Kluyveromyces lactis: one gene and its partner. Each later gene encodes a partner of the first gene's protein in a complex. Links are inferred from orthologs where the notes say so. Each region holds a gene or a part of one and is shown in the gene's direction. Other genes may lie near its edges. The genes, in order: SPC98 and TUB4.

Evidence for each region.
Region 2: the proteins of SPC98 (region 1) and TUB4 are in contact, whole or in part, in a cryo-EM structure (PDB 7M2W), measured with the Saccharomyces cerevisiae proteins. The link is inferred for Kluyveromyces lactis from reciprocal best matches to the Saccharomyces cerevisiae genes SPC98 and TUB4. Residues at the interface, in NP_014273.1 of Saccharomyces cerevisiae: Lys478, Met483, Gly484, Lys485, Ser486, Asp487, Met489, Asp490, Ile493, Glu494, Leu522, Ser524, Arg526, His527, Leu528, Ser531, Pro532, Arg533, Asn534, Lys594, Asn597, Tyr598, Gln601, Met604, Leu605, Lys606, Asn608, Asp609, Ile611, Arg612; in NP_013313.1 of Saccharomyces cerevisiae: Met1, Gly2, Thr44, Glu45, Arg46, Asp47, Asp48, Asp49, Thr50, Lys51, Asp131, Cys159, Pro163, Lys164, Lys165, Ile166, Glu196, Asp197, Ser198, Asp199, Pro245, Ser246, Tyr247, Met248, Tyr249, Ser250, Ser251, Ser253, Ser254, Tyr256.

What each region holds. Positions count from the first base shown.
Region 1 is NC_006042.1:2,257,114-2,264,832, reverse strand, and holds SPC98 (Spc98p), read left to right. Parts: upstream 1-3,335; coding exon 3,336-5,816; downstream 5,817-7,719. Other genes in the region: FAR11 (Far11p), read left to right, coding at 240-3,023; ESBP6 (Esbp6p), read right to left, coding at 5,868-7,719. UniProt on the Saccharomyces cerevisiae protein: Involved in microtubule organization by the microtubule organizing center, the spindle pole body (SPB). Probably part of the microtubule attachment site at the SPB.
Region 2 is NC_006039.1:1,417,855-1,424,878, forward strand, and holds TUB4 (gamma-tubulin), read left to right. Parts: upstream 1-3,825; coding exon 3,826-5,235; downstream 5,236-7,024. Other genes in the region: ECM5 (Ecm5p), read right to left, coding at 1-679; KLLA0_C16225g (uncharacterized protein), read right to left, coding at 2,132-2,689; LDB17 (Ldb17p), read right to left, coding at 5,448-6,902. UniProt on the Saccharomyces cerevisiae protein: Tubulin is the major constituent of microtubules. The gamma chain is found at microtubule organizing centers (MTOC) such as the spindle poles or the centrosome, suggesting that it is involved in the minus-end nucleation of microtubule assembly.

The sequences.
Region 1 (7,719 bases):
AAAAAGTAGCATCGCATTCAATCAGACATGTTAGAATAAGAACGTTTGCAACTATACACTTAAACTTTTTAGAAAACGTTACTTTTGTGGTTCAAATACATTGCGAGGTATTGCCTGAACTACTCCCGTGGTTTTCTATTGATAGCGGCTTGAAGAGCTGTTTTCTTTTCAACATTGAATTAACGATTATTCAATTTGAGAGATAGAAAGGAATCCAATATTATTTGTGGATTGCGATAATGCCAGAGACACAGCGGTCAAGATCTCCGCTATTGAAGTCTTTGTCTTCTAAAGATTTGAGGAGCAAGACTCAGGCTAGACCGCCATTTGCAAAACAGCTCTCCAATGAACACCAGACTTTCCCTTCGGATACGTCTTTATTCCATGATCTGGATAGTTTACTTAGCAAGAAATTACATTTGGGTGATTCAAATGAATTGCAGCATGAAAACAACGGCACAGATAGACAATCTAATGAAGCGAACAATAGCAGTGAGATTATTGATACTCAGGATGATGCTAATGGGGAAGAAGATGATGAGGATTCAGAGTTTGCAAATGTCGATGAGATCGATGGACCAATCTCCCCCAGTTCTAGTTCTGGTAGCCTGAAAGATTATTTCCAAGGTTATGATTCATATACTAACGGACAAGCATCACCGAAGCAACTAAGGAAGGTTTCACCCGAATTGAATGACAAAGATAAAATAATTACATATGAGGATGTCAAAGTTGAAGAAGATAATAATTTACCAGTAGACGATGCATTAAAGAAGTTGTTACAAGAAAAAGCAGACGAGATTGAAAGAGGTGATCTTTCACATTCATTTACCAAGCCTACGTTAGATTGGCAGGCTTCCGATTTTAATTCATTATTTCACGAACTATCAGAATGGTTCATACAAAAGGACTATGGGAGCTTAAAGACTGCAAAGTTGAGCTTTGAAAAAAACTATGATAGTTCGAAATTTATCGAAGAGCGTAAATACGCTATTCAAGTTATTACAGAGCTTGGTAAAAAGCTAGAGGTAAATTCAGTGGATATCAATACCTTGCTTTGTCTGGCGTATATTTCTTTCGGAACTTTTCAGGAAACGAACAGTTATTTCCATCATTTAGACATTCTACGGAGGAATAATACTCTATTGATGATGATTTCAAAGGTACTCTTACCTTGCTTTAAGAAACATGCAGATTGTTGTAGGGTGAAGAACACTAATTTGCAACAATATAATACTCTTTTGTTCTACTCGGGTTCAATCACTTATTTTATGATCAATATAGCTATTGAGCAAAGAAGCATGCACACCAAAGCTGTAGAAGATTTTATTGATGTCGTACATTCATCTGGCTTGATGCTTTTCCTTACAAAATATATAGACCATTGGCGTTGGAAAAGTCGACTCTCAATGAGAATAAGAAATATCATTATTTTATTCCATAAAGTGCTTCTATTACAGTTTGGTGAAGAGAGCCATTATGACGCAGTGAAGAGATTTGTTCTTCAACATCACAAAATTGAAAAGAAAGACTCCTCTGCTTCGAATCTTTCAATATCTCCATTGGAATATGTTGCTTTTAGGGAAGATATCACCTCAAGATTTCCATCTTCTCAGCTTCCAGAACCGACATATCCTAGCATGCTTGACAACCCCAATTCTCTTTCACAATTTTTAGAGATTCCGAGACCCCGTTCGAGGAGCAGTTCTAACATGTCGTTGGGAGAGCCACAAGTGCATATGGCAACGCCTGCACCATCACAGCCGGCATCACCCACAAGCTCGCCCAACGGATTGAAAACGAGGAAGTCATTTCAAGCCAATTTATCATATCCAGCATTTTTTCCATCCTCTGGTGACTATGATACTGGTGTGGTAGACGAACTTAGTAATAAGCTGAGTATTGCGGTGCCTGAGACAGTGTTACCGTATAACATGCAAGAAGCAATCGAAATTTTGTCAAAATCTGTGCATATAAAACTATCTACTAAACAACTATGGCATGAAAGAGAATTATTTATGGTGCAAGAACGAGGATGGACAAACACTGAGGTACATGAGAAGGACCCATTCACGTATAGAGGTATACAGAATGAGGAACCTGAAACCATGAATCGCATCGAAGATTATTATGCTAATGCTTTACCCCATTTTTCATCTCTAGTATATGTTCTATTAGAAACTATTGAAACTTGTATGTCAAACAAAGTATACCTTGAAGAGGATTTTTCTGAAGAAGAAATTAATGAGCTTCAACCACAATTGGAACTTATAAGATCAAAGGAAATTGCAATGGAATCGAGTTCTGCCATACTTTTCCTCCTTTTAAAATGGTTTAAGGTTAGCCACTTTCTTAAATTTGAGTATCTTTGCTCGTTGATTTACGATTCAAAGTTCATTACGACAAGCGTAGGCATCCTTCAATCTTTTACTGATCAATATCAAAACAGAATTTACTCTAAACATTTACAACCTACCCATTCTTTTTGGAGTGAATGTTCTTTATACAATGTTCAATATAAAGAAACTCTTGAGATATCAACCGCAAATGAGAAAGCAAACAGATTAAATCTCCGAATGCTCAATTCCGAGGTGTATCTATTACGAGTGTTATCCAAAATAACTGGGAAAAAGACACAAAGGCTAAAAGACCTACCACTTAATGTTAGTAACATATTCAAGGCATTGTATTCTATCTTTAATCTGGACATATACCACCCCATATTAAAGATAATTCACGAATTGGCACCATTCAAGAATAAAAGATGGAGGGCAGATCATATGGAATTGATTTCTGGAGTGTTCTTACATGAGAAACTTCATTTAACAGATAACTGGATAACAGGGAAGGATATCACGGGCGAGATCAACGATTCCTATGGCCAAGAAATTGCTTTACGGGCCATGCTGCAATTCTACAATTTCTATCACTATAAAAGAACTATGGAACATTGCGGGTACGATGACAAATTCTCTAACTCTTTCTTTTCAAGGGAGGCTGAACTACTCTCTGCTCCTTATTAAAAAATATGGCATAATAATAAGTTAAACAAATGTATTATACATGTACTGTATTGATATATATATTATGTATACATGTATGTCTGCATATGTCTTTCCTTCAATCCTTGTGATGGTCACCAAAGTCAATCACGTGACTATTTCACAACCTTTTTCACTTTATGTTTACATCATTGGATACAACAACAGTAGATCGATATTGTTTTGTGAAAATATCAACAAACAAGAACGATTTGTGCGCTAAAGTGAAAGGTAAAAGATGTGAAAAAGAGCCTCTTCCCCTATCTCTACTGTGGGGTAACGGAAAAAACAATAATGGACCAAAAATTTGGCACATGTGTACTACACATGCTTCCTGCATCTGCTGGCAGTGCGTATTCTCAGCAATTAATTCAGGACCTTTACTACTCTATCAAAACATCATCAAAGGAAAATGTCACAAAAGTATTGGAATATTATAAAAAAATAATGGTGCAACGCAATCAGGACATGAAAAGTTGGTCTCATTTAGAAATGTTTGCCGGCATCATGTGCCATCTCTCAAGTCCGGAAGAAAAACATAAATATTTACTGCAATGTTTGTCACTTTTAGACAAAAACGATGAGTTGTATGATATGAGAGAACCAATGTCGAAAGAAGTGATAGAAAATATACAAAGGAAAACAACGGAAAGCGTCTATGCGGATTCTTTTGAGAATTTTGAGAAGGTATCGGACAGAAGGTCAATTGGGTCCTATGGGGGAAATGCTTGGCAACATAGTTCATCTGATGCTACATTACAAAGCTTATCAGATCCATATTTCAGCACAATGGTATCGAGGGCCGATATCGTTAAAAGTATACCCTATCTTGTGTTGGGAACACCCTCTACTTTATTCGAACTAAAAGACAAGAAGTTCACAATACCCAGCAATATTCCGAACGGAGAAAGCCAACAGTTGCATGATATCGTTGAAGCAGGCTTACTTTACTTGCACCTTCAAATTAGAGTGGAATATCTTAAAAAACATGTTACCACCAGTACACTAAAAGTAGCATTTTTGACATTGATTCAAAGTAAACTTCGAGATTATAGTAATTTCGTCAACAATTTCTCATCCCACTTACATCCACTCGATCCATTATGTTTTACATATCAACACCTCTATCCTGAAGTACTAAAACTAAGGACATATATGGAATATATTGAAAACTTTGAAAAAAGCAGTGCAGAGGGATTACTATCTGTATGCCAGTTACAAAAAAGTAATGGTGATCCAGTACTCGAGAAATTTGCATCTGATGCGTTAGAGCGTCTTTTACAACCCTACATGAAGAACATATGCGATTGGTTGATTGATGGAAAACTGGATTCAAATGTTAGTAGTGACTTTTTTGTTCAAAATGACGAGAAAGAACCATTGGGATTGGTATTCTTGCCACAGAAAATTCCAAAATTTATACCGTCTTTAGTGGCCAAAAAAATATACATTATTGGAAAGTCCCTCCGATATCTCGAACATTGCTGCAGCGAAGTTGAATGGATTGGAAAATTTGCAAATAAGTATTCATTGCAATATAGGCTATTAGGCCCTTCAATGGATCACAAATTTTTCGAATTGGTTAACCAGCAATATGGTGAAATTAACCACTATATCAACACCACATTACGATCGAAATTTTATTATTTCGAGACTCTCAACCTTTTAAAAGATATCCTTCTAATGGGTAAAAGCGATGTGATTGATTCTATTATTCAAAACTCGGAAAATCTCTTCAACCAACCTTCTCAACTTTTAGAAAGCCATCATTTAACGAAGTGTCTACAAATCGCAATTCAACAATCATCTCTGAGAAATAGATTGAACAAATCAGATAACAATCTCTTGGTGAATAGGCTTGATGCTAGAATTTTGGAATTAGCACATGGATCTTCGGGTTGGGATGTTTTCACATTAGACTATCTCGTGGATCAGCCTCTTTCAACAGTAATGGATATCAACCAACACGGAAGCCGCAGAGATTATCTGAGAATTTTCAACTTCTTATGGAGAATTAAAAAGAATGAGTACAATTATGAACAAGAATGGCAAAAAAATTCATCCATTCTTAAACTTTTTAGAAAGCTGAACATCAGGGTTCCATTTATTAGGGATTTACTGAATAAAGTTTCAATGATCAATGTTTTAAAGAATCAGATTCAATCTTTCACTAAAAAAGTTGAAACATATTGTTTCGAGAGTATTATTGAACATGAATTTAGGAAGCTTCTTTCGAATCTAAATCATAAAGATACCGATCCAACCTCCTCGGTTAAAGTTAAAGTGCTTAGAAATGGGGTAAAAGTCTCAAGCGGTGTTTTAAAACCTGATCTTCATTTTATCGAAAACTTCAAAGAACTTACGACAGATGATGTTAGCGGCTATTCTTCATTTGATCTTGAGGATCTAAAAAGAGCTCATTCTGTATTCTTATCAAATATTTTGAATCATCCAATTTTATATTCAGGTTCAGGTGCTTCGCTTGGAACATACACTCATCAGCTGTATCCAACTACTTTGGTTTTATTGATGGATATGAGTTATGAGTTTGTGCTAAATTACTCTGAGCTAAATAACGTCATTCATGAGATTTGCATTCAGATGAACTTAGATCCTAACCAAAATTTGCATGACCCGATAATGAGATTCAATGTAATTTCAAAGAAGTTGGTTGATCAATGGAAGGATTTTGATAATGAATGCAATGCTTATATCAAGGATTTGAAGTGGGATGAAAATACTGAAATAAATAAACTAAGTAAGATACTTCACTAATGCTACTTTTATAGACGGAAGAAAAGAATAGATGACTCTGTGGAAAGAGTTTTATACATGCATTGGATAAAACATTCTTGCAAAGTAGCTTTTGATGCCTGATCCAAGTAAGTAATCATACTTGATCTCTCTTTCTCTCAAGATGTTATTGTCTTTTTCTGATAAGTTTGAATCATCATAATCCTTTAACCGTTGCAAATTTATCGTTTGTCTTTCTTTTATCTTTATCTTTGCTGTCACCTCCCGCAATCCCAATATAAGGAGTAATGCCGCAACGAAACAACATCCCGCAAATATTTGAGTGTGGAGATATGGGTCGTTGGAGTTGGGTTCAGTCAACGCTTGTGCAATAACTTCAGCAACAAGCATGAATGGAGAGCCCACCAAGTTAACATAACCCCAAGCGGGCAAAAAATCTACCGGTCCAACGATGTCAGCAACTAGCACGGTGTTCATAACATTAGCTACACCAATACATAGACCGACACATATTGAAAACCCGATTAAAGATGAATAACTGTCAGCAGGGATCCAAAAACCGAACATGAAAATTGTTAAAAGTAACGTTAGCATAACAGTAATATTCGTTCTACCGATTTTATCCCCTGTGTATCCAATTAAGGGTCTACCTACACTTTGGGCACCGTTCAAGATTGCCGTTAGCGAGGAACCTTGATGAGCAGTCAAGCCGTTAGCAACAGCGTATGAGGATAAAGTAAATATCATTAAAGTATATCCAAATAATGCAAACATGAACCACATTGCAATTAATTGAACTGTCCATTTTTTGAATATGTGCATCGAGAACATATCATTACAGTGTTGCTTGATTGCTTTCCAATTTCTGATCCCAGTAGCCTTCATTGGAACTCTCTGACGTAGCAAAAGGGTTGCTACTACACAAGTTATGCTGCAAGTGATAGCAAGGATTCTTAATGCAAATCTCTGATTACCGGTATTTTCTATCATTTTATTAACCGCTAGAGAGTATGCAACACCACCTGCTCCTGTTCCAATCAATGATAAACCCATTGCAAATGATCTTTTTTTAAGAAACCACCCAGGCAAAACGGTAGTGGCAGGAGCGAAAATAAACGAAATGCCGACGCCACTAAGGAAACCTTGAGTCAAATATAGTTGCCATAATGACACAGCATAACTGGCTAAAACGAAACCCAAGCACATAATCACAATACCGAAATACATTGGAATTTTTAAACCAAAGATTCTCATAAATAAGAGAACAAACGGAGGTAACCCTTGCCCAAAGAATACAGTCATACCTGCAATTAATGCATAGTCATATTTACTAGCACCTGGAAAGCTTGAATTGTTCAAGTAAAATGCTAGAAACACACCAAACGCCGAATTACAACCCCAAGTGGAAAACATAACAAGTGTGACACAAAGACAACACACCCAACCGTATCCTCCCTCTGGTGGAAGATCCAAAGTGTTGGTCTCCTTGTTGGTAAAGACTTTATTAAGTGTCTGGCCTTCATCATCACCGGCTAGTTCAACCGGAACTTCCGATCGATATTCACCTTCACTATCAGAGGTTTGATCAAACCATTTATCTGAACCCTTAGCATTAACAGCATTGGCATTAGTATTAGTATTAGTGTTGGTGGTGTAACGACTGTCAGTTCTCTTAGCTGTTTCTGTCAACCGTAATGCATCATCAATATCAAAATTTCTTTCCAACAATTTGTTTAAATCGTCGGTGTTATTGTCGGCTTGTAAATTATCATCATCAACCGCCTTCTTGATCGTGCTCAAAGTCCTCGTAACAGTTCTTGAAATACCAGTAATGATAGTAGACCGTCCTGTGTCCGCTGTCTTGATACTAGAAGGCTCAGAAAGCCTTCTAGTGATACGTTGGTCTGAATCTGCCAGTTGACTC
Region 2 (7,024 bases), on another chromosome or scaffold:
GCTTGAGTCTTTTCTGTAGTTCTACATCATATGAGTTTGTATGCTGCTTTCTAGGCTTGAACCAAAAGTTCTCTGTGTCCAAATTAAAGGCATTGAAGGGTGAGTTATCACAATGATTAAAGTCAATCTTGACAGCACCGAATTGTTTGCCAAGTGGTTCCATTATTCTATAAAGTTCAAATGGCGTGGGAAAATCATCCGTGTTTCCCTTGACCGTGATAGTAGGGATCGATCCCTCTTGAACTGTATAATGAATTCCTGATATGGTACCCTCACTCACAACCCTGGCATTATTGATAACCTTTCCACAATGAATTTGGAGTGGATCGAAAGGTGCATTAGATCTCGTCCTGTGTTGCGTATACAAATATGGGTTGTGAGAGTTGTTATTTTGTGTGAAAGAAGTAGAGGCTGATTGACCGTCTATAACTTTCCTCGGAAGAGTCGTCTTGGAATGGTTGTTTTCAAACTGGTCGGGCACTGGGATTTTCGGTATCAGCGCTTCTGCGACTGAATTGGTAGTAAACTTATTTTTAGAAGTGGTAGAATGACTGGAGGTTTCTCCCTTATCTATTACGTGTTTTCTTTCGTCATTGGCGTACGATATGGTCGTTTGAGCTGGATTCAATAATAACGAAACAGAATTACTTGGCAGTGAGGAAATCTGTTTATGCTCCATGACTAAGAGGAAGTAAATCGTTTCAATTTGTTGCAAAATCCTAGTCTTTGTACAAAATCGATTTGGATTCCCATTGGTTGAGAAGGTCAAGCGAAACACTATCTTACTATGGCCAATAACTGAAAGTTCTTGATGTTATGTTTCACCTCATCCTCAAATTTCGCTTCGTATTGTAGCGCCAATTCATGTTGTCGAAATTAACATTGATATCACGTGGTATAAAAGACTTTTCGATATATGAGATAATGAGATGACGCTTGTATAATGACTAATTTAGGAAGAAATGATGTCGTTCACAACCTCCACATAGGCTTAAAACCTTACGGGAGTTGCACATTTCTGGCAGGCTAAGTTTCGATGGTCTTTTTAGCATATAGAAGGATTATAGTAGTTATAAATTAAATATGTAGCATGCTCTGCTTATCCTTCTGAATATTGTGCAAACAATTGTACACTTAGCAAAAGTACAATTTACCGTTTCCAAATTTTAAGGTTTTAACTTGTGTGACGGGTCATTTCTCCTGCAACTCCGAACTGTACTAGTCACGGTCTTTAAACAAAATTCAAACCGGATATAGGAGCTTGTGAGATTATCATAGGCCCTTTATATGCAAGCTTCAAATCGTTTGCATGCCATTTCTTGTTTTCTATAAGCAAGGAACGTCAGTTTCTTAAGTATCGACACCGAAAACGTCAAAAAGACACAATGTGCTAGGTAAGAATAGAAGTATATAAGTGAGCATGATGCATTTTCCTCGCGCGGAAAAGAATCATTATACAAATTTCAGCTGTGTGGAGTTGTTGTCGTGGTTTGATCAATCCTTAGTAAGCATATGGTCCTGTAAGATATGACAGAATTTCATGGAGTGACAGAGTCCGAAAACAATGAGGAAACTAGAATATACAATTTCGCAGACACTATGAGAAGATTATTAGCACTGCCTGACTATACCGCAAGGTATTTCCATTTTTCAACTAGTGATACCCATAATAACAGTACAGAACCACAGGATCGCAATGAACAACAATCACATGTGCGTTGGAAAATCCAGAAATTACAATGATATTGTCAAAACTGCTTCAGTTTGGCAATTAATGTTCAGCAGCTGAGGAAGTGAGCCCTAGTATAGACAATATTTCATTACTTTAATATAAAATCAGTCAAGTCATGATGTATATTTAAAATAATAGATATAAAATAAAAACGAACTACAAGGAACTTTGAGACCTTATCCCTTGAAAGGAATCGCTGGAGATAAAAAAAAAAAAAAGCAGCGAGAACTGCATGGTTACATTGTTCAACAATCCAACCATGCTGTTAAGAAAAAAACTCGTCGTTAAGGCAATAACATTTTAGATTCAAAATGAGAGCAGACTGCATCATAAAACAGCATTTTAAACTGAAATGTGTTGGTGAATATAAACTTTTCAAATCATTTCGTCATTTCTAATTTACCAGTTATCATTAGAGAACTGGTTGTTTCTTTGACCACCGGTTGCCCCAGAACCGGGATTAGTTCTGGAAGTGTAGTCTTCAGTTCTTGCACCAGAAGGTGTGCCAGGAATATGGGCATTTCCAGCTTTCTGACCAGAGAGACCTTGGCTACCTAGTCCACCTTGTTGTTGACGAGAGCCCTGGCTCGTTTCAAATCCCATTTGCTCGGAAGAGTACTTTTGACGTCCACCACTAGTGTTCGAACCCTGGTTGAAGTCGTCATCATATTCATCGTAGTGGTCTTTAGCTTGAGAGCTCATCTTATTCTTGGATCTGGTTTGACGTCCACCACTTAGTTCATCATCATCGAATCTACCTGTAGATTCTTGCTGAGAACCTCTACCCATTGAACCCATTCCAGATTGTTGAGATGGTTTGTTTGAGTATCCCATGTCGGTTTGACGACCGTGAGATTGTTGTTGAGAGTTTAATCTGTTTCCTTGTTCATCGACTCTTTGGTCATTGTTATCATCACCGGTTAACTTGTCAGCGAATTTGTGTAGAATGTTAGACATTTTGATATTATAGATGTTCTTGATATTGATTTTCTTGGACAGTGTGATCAATTGATATAATTGAGTGTAGTATAACTCAAACCTTGATCAAGTTGGATTAGAAAGTAAATTCATAAAACACTGCTCTTTTATAAACTGATTTCTGATCCAGGTTTATTCAAAATAGCAAACCTTCTGAGAACGATTTTGCTGGAGCATAGCATCTTACATTAATTGCCATTGATTAGGTAAGTACCCACTAAAGTTTTACGAAATGCTTTAGTGCCCGTGGTGATCCACATCATATTCTTAATTGATGTTCTCGTAAATTCAAGTTCTAGTTCATGGGCAATCAAAAAAGCAGCGAGTGATGTCGTAATTTTACTCAAATACTAACAGTACCATGCTTCTCCGTTGCCCCTTGCGATGTGAAGTATTATTGGATTATATAACCCATAGTATAGCCTTCCTTTTTACAACTCGGTTCAATAAACCACCCACTTTGTTCCAATAATTAGTTTGTCCCCTAAAAATGCTTGATCCGACAATACCTATTCTAGACATATCCCCCATCTACTATGGAGATAATTAGCTCAAAAGAAAAACCTTCATTACCATGTCTCCATAAGCTTCTGCAGTTGTTAAATTAGTTCCTTAACTATTCCGCTCGGTATGCAATGAAACTTCTTATTATGTCACATTGCTATTCTATTTAAAGATATATTGCTACTCGCGTTGGCACTGCCATCTACGCCCTGGAAACATTACTTGAAATTCGTAGCTTCAAGAAGCCTCCATACTGCCATTTTGTACCATGATTGAATTTTTGCATGTCACACAGTGACGAGCCTCATCTACTGGTGCCAATAGCAACCATACCTCGTTTAAGGCAAAACTCAGAAACCAGGCCCCTTCTTAATCTTCCCTTAATTCTCTCTGAATTGAAATTTCATGTTGAGATGTTCTAGATTGTGTCTTACATAAATATGTTACCCGGATCTGTTGATAGTTCGCGAAAACTGTAAACAAATACAAAACACAGGTTGGATCTGGGAAATCGCATTTAATAAAGCGGTGACGTTATGTCGGATTGATTTTAGAATTTACGCCATCAGGTTGCTTTGCTTTGTCCGTAGCTTGGTGAGTTTTTTTTTGTGATGACTGGTGAAGTAATTACTTTGCAAGTTGGCCAGTGCGGGAACCAAGTTGGGCGAGAGTTCTGGTCACAATTGGCGAAAGAGCATGGAATTGGACAAGATGGTCTAAGTTTGCAAGAAGATTCTCCCACAGCCGTTAGAGAAGACCATCCAGTGACTTTTTTCAAACAAAACGATTCAAATCGGTACACTCCACGTGCATTACTTTTCGATTTAGAGCCCAGTATTATCAACGATATACGAAACAGTTTCCCAGGTTTTTTTAACGAAAGAAACGTTTGGGTGTCGCAGGATAATTTAGGAGCTGGTAATACATGGTCGATAGGTTACGACTATGGTACAGAAAATCAAGACCAATTTATAAATATGATTGATAGAGAAATAGATGCGACAGAAAATTTTGAAGCGTTCCAATTGATCCATTCAGTCGCTGGTGGTACAGGATCAGGTTTAGGATCGAATTTATTGGAGTTATTGGCCGATAGCTATCATAAGAAGCTCGTCACCACGTATTCAGTGTTCCCCAGCGATGAATCCGAAGTTGTGGTTCAACCATACAACACCATGCTTACTTTGAGGCGACTAATAGAAGATAGTGATGCGTCGGTGGTGTTTGATAACAATGCGCTTTCAAATATTACGGCAAGAATTTTAAGGGATTCTAATGTCAGTTATGCACAATCGAATCAGGTGATATCGACTGTTATGTCTTCCATAACGAATAGCATACGGTTCCCCAGTTATATGTTCAGTTCGCTACCAAGCATTTTCTCCACCATCGTACCCACGCCCGACATGCATTTCCTAGTTCCAAGCTTCACCTCTTTCACCACCGATTTCATACCCGAGGCAAAAAATCTCAAGAGAAGTACAGGTTATGATGTAATACTAGATTTATTTGATGCCAACAATTCGATGGTTACCCATTCTGCAGACGATCCTGTGTATATCGCCATATACTCTCTATTACAGGGATCGGTAGAACAATCAGATATTACCAGAGGTATCTTAAAGACTCAAAAAAGAGTTCAATTTGCCCCATGGTCGAAAAGCTCACTACACGTCAACATTGGTAAAAAATCGCCATACAACAAAACTTCTAACTCCGACTATGTGAGCGGGCTCATACTTTCGAATACCACGGCAGTGAATTCACTTCTTAAGAAAACATGCAATAGTTTCGATACGATTTTCAACAGAGGTGCTTTCTTACACAAGTTTCAAAATGGGAGAGTGTTTGAAAATGGTTGGGATGAATTTAAAGAAAGTCGTGAAGTCGTACAATCGGTAATTGACGAATACACATATGCTGCTCAGGATTCATACATTGATGATATTCTACTCGAAGAGAACATGCTAGTCGGTAATGATGATGGTGCAATGGACATCAATGACGACAATATCATATAAACATGGGTGAGAGCTTGCTAAAATCGCTTTACTATTTTTTACGAATTTCTGTGCCAATTTAATTATTTATTAATTGTGTATTTAATTAACGGATTGTAATGAGGAAATTATGCAGCAGATCAGAGTTCTGCAGGCTTGTGAAGATTTTACTTTTTTTAGTATTAATAACAATTAATATTACCCTTTAATATTACATGCAATTGTCTCGATGCTCATACTTTAGCTATTGCTAGCTTTCGGTCACTTCCCTGCCTATGTCTAACCTTTCTGGATGGTGGAGGTGGGGGAGGAGTTTGTTGATTAGATTTATGATTGATAGAGTCGGCAGAGTATGAGTTCTGTAAGTTACTATAGAGGTGAGGAGTAGTTGACATCACTGGCTCCAAAGGAGTGTTACTTGTAGACTTTTGACTTATACTTGACCTTCTACTCTCTTCGCTGTCATTTTGATCGGATGAAAATTGGTTTTCTTGCTCGAGCCATTTGACTTCGTGTAGACATTTTGCTGCTAACCTGGCGGTGGTCTTCTGTAGAGGGGTTGCCTTCTCAATAGAACAGAAATTATCTACATCAGAAAAGAATTTTAAAGTCGTAGAAATTTCACTTCTGTGATACTTCGTGGCTGCTAGTTCCGTATTGTTCAACAATGGAGTTAGAACTCTTAAATATGTGTTTCTTAAAATTTCTTCGTTATCAGATATGTTGTTCAAGTTTCTCAATAGCACATCAACGAAAACATGCAAGTCATTCAAGTAAAAGAAATCCTTAGCCACTTTTAAATCTTTAGTCAATATTATATATATGACTTTGCAGATCATTATCAATAAAGAGGTGTCAGTTTCTCTATTAAATTTTAATAAAAGCAACCCAATGAAATCCTTGGACATGTTGTGGTTCAATAAAAACTCATAAGCCTTGTTTTCGATATCAAATTCGTACTGAAAAATCATATATTGTTCATTGAGGGCAAGTAGAAGCTTAAACTTGACATTGTTTAAAATGTCGTCAACAACATCTGATCTTATGCTGCTGACGAGATAGTAAATAAAGAAATCATCAATCATTTGAATATTGGAAATCTGACATTTCGAGTACTTGAAGAATTGATACATGATATCAATCAGTATAGTAGTCAAGTGTTTAATGTCTTCAATGATTTCAAGATTTGTGTCTTTTTTTGGATCTTCTTGGGCTTTGTCATGATATTCATTTGCCTGGTATGGGACACCAGTATATTCATCGCCGTACTTATTAAGATACGCAAAGTTGCTGTAAATATTGTTATAGAGAACTAGGAACCCCTGATTCTCTAGAATGATGTCCAATGCATTTAAGTCAACCTTACATTTGTAAAGAATGATATATGCAATAATTAATTTCAAGTTTAATTCCAAAAGATCGATAGACAATAAAGATAAGAGTTTTCTTAAACAGAAATCAGTTGTTTGTTGGAACATTGGAGACTCCACCAACATAAGACCTATTCTGTATAAATCCTGATCACATTTTATAAGGCTAGAATAGTGATCAGCAGTGATCTTCACAAAAGACACTAAGGCAGAATTCACCTCAGATTCATTTCTGACATTCACTTCTGCCAGTAACTCTTCCAACTTCTCCCAAAACTCAACCAAAGTGACATCCTGTATTGTCATCGATGTAGCCATGCTGTTGGAAGTGGCATATAGCTGTCAATGCTTAATATATTGTTTGTTAACCTGTTTTTATTAAAATTTCTCAAAAACAGGGTCTAATTTCAGTTCGCAACTTTATAATCTGTTTTTTGTTC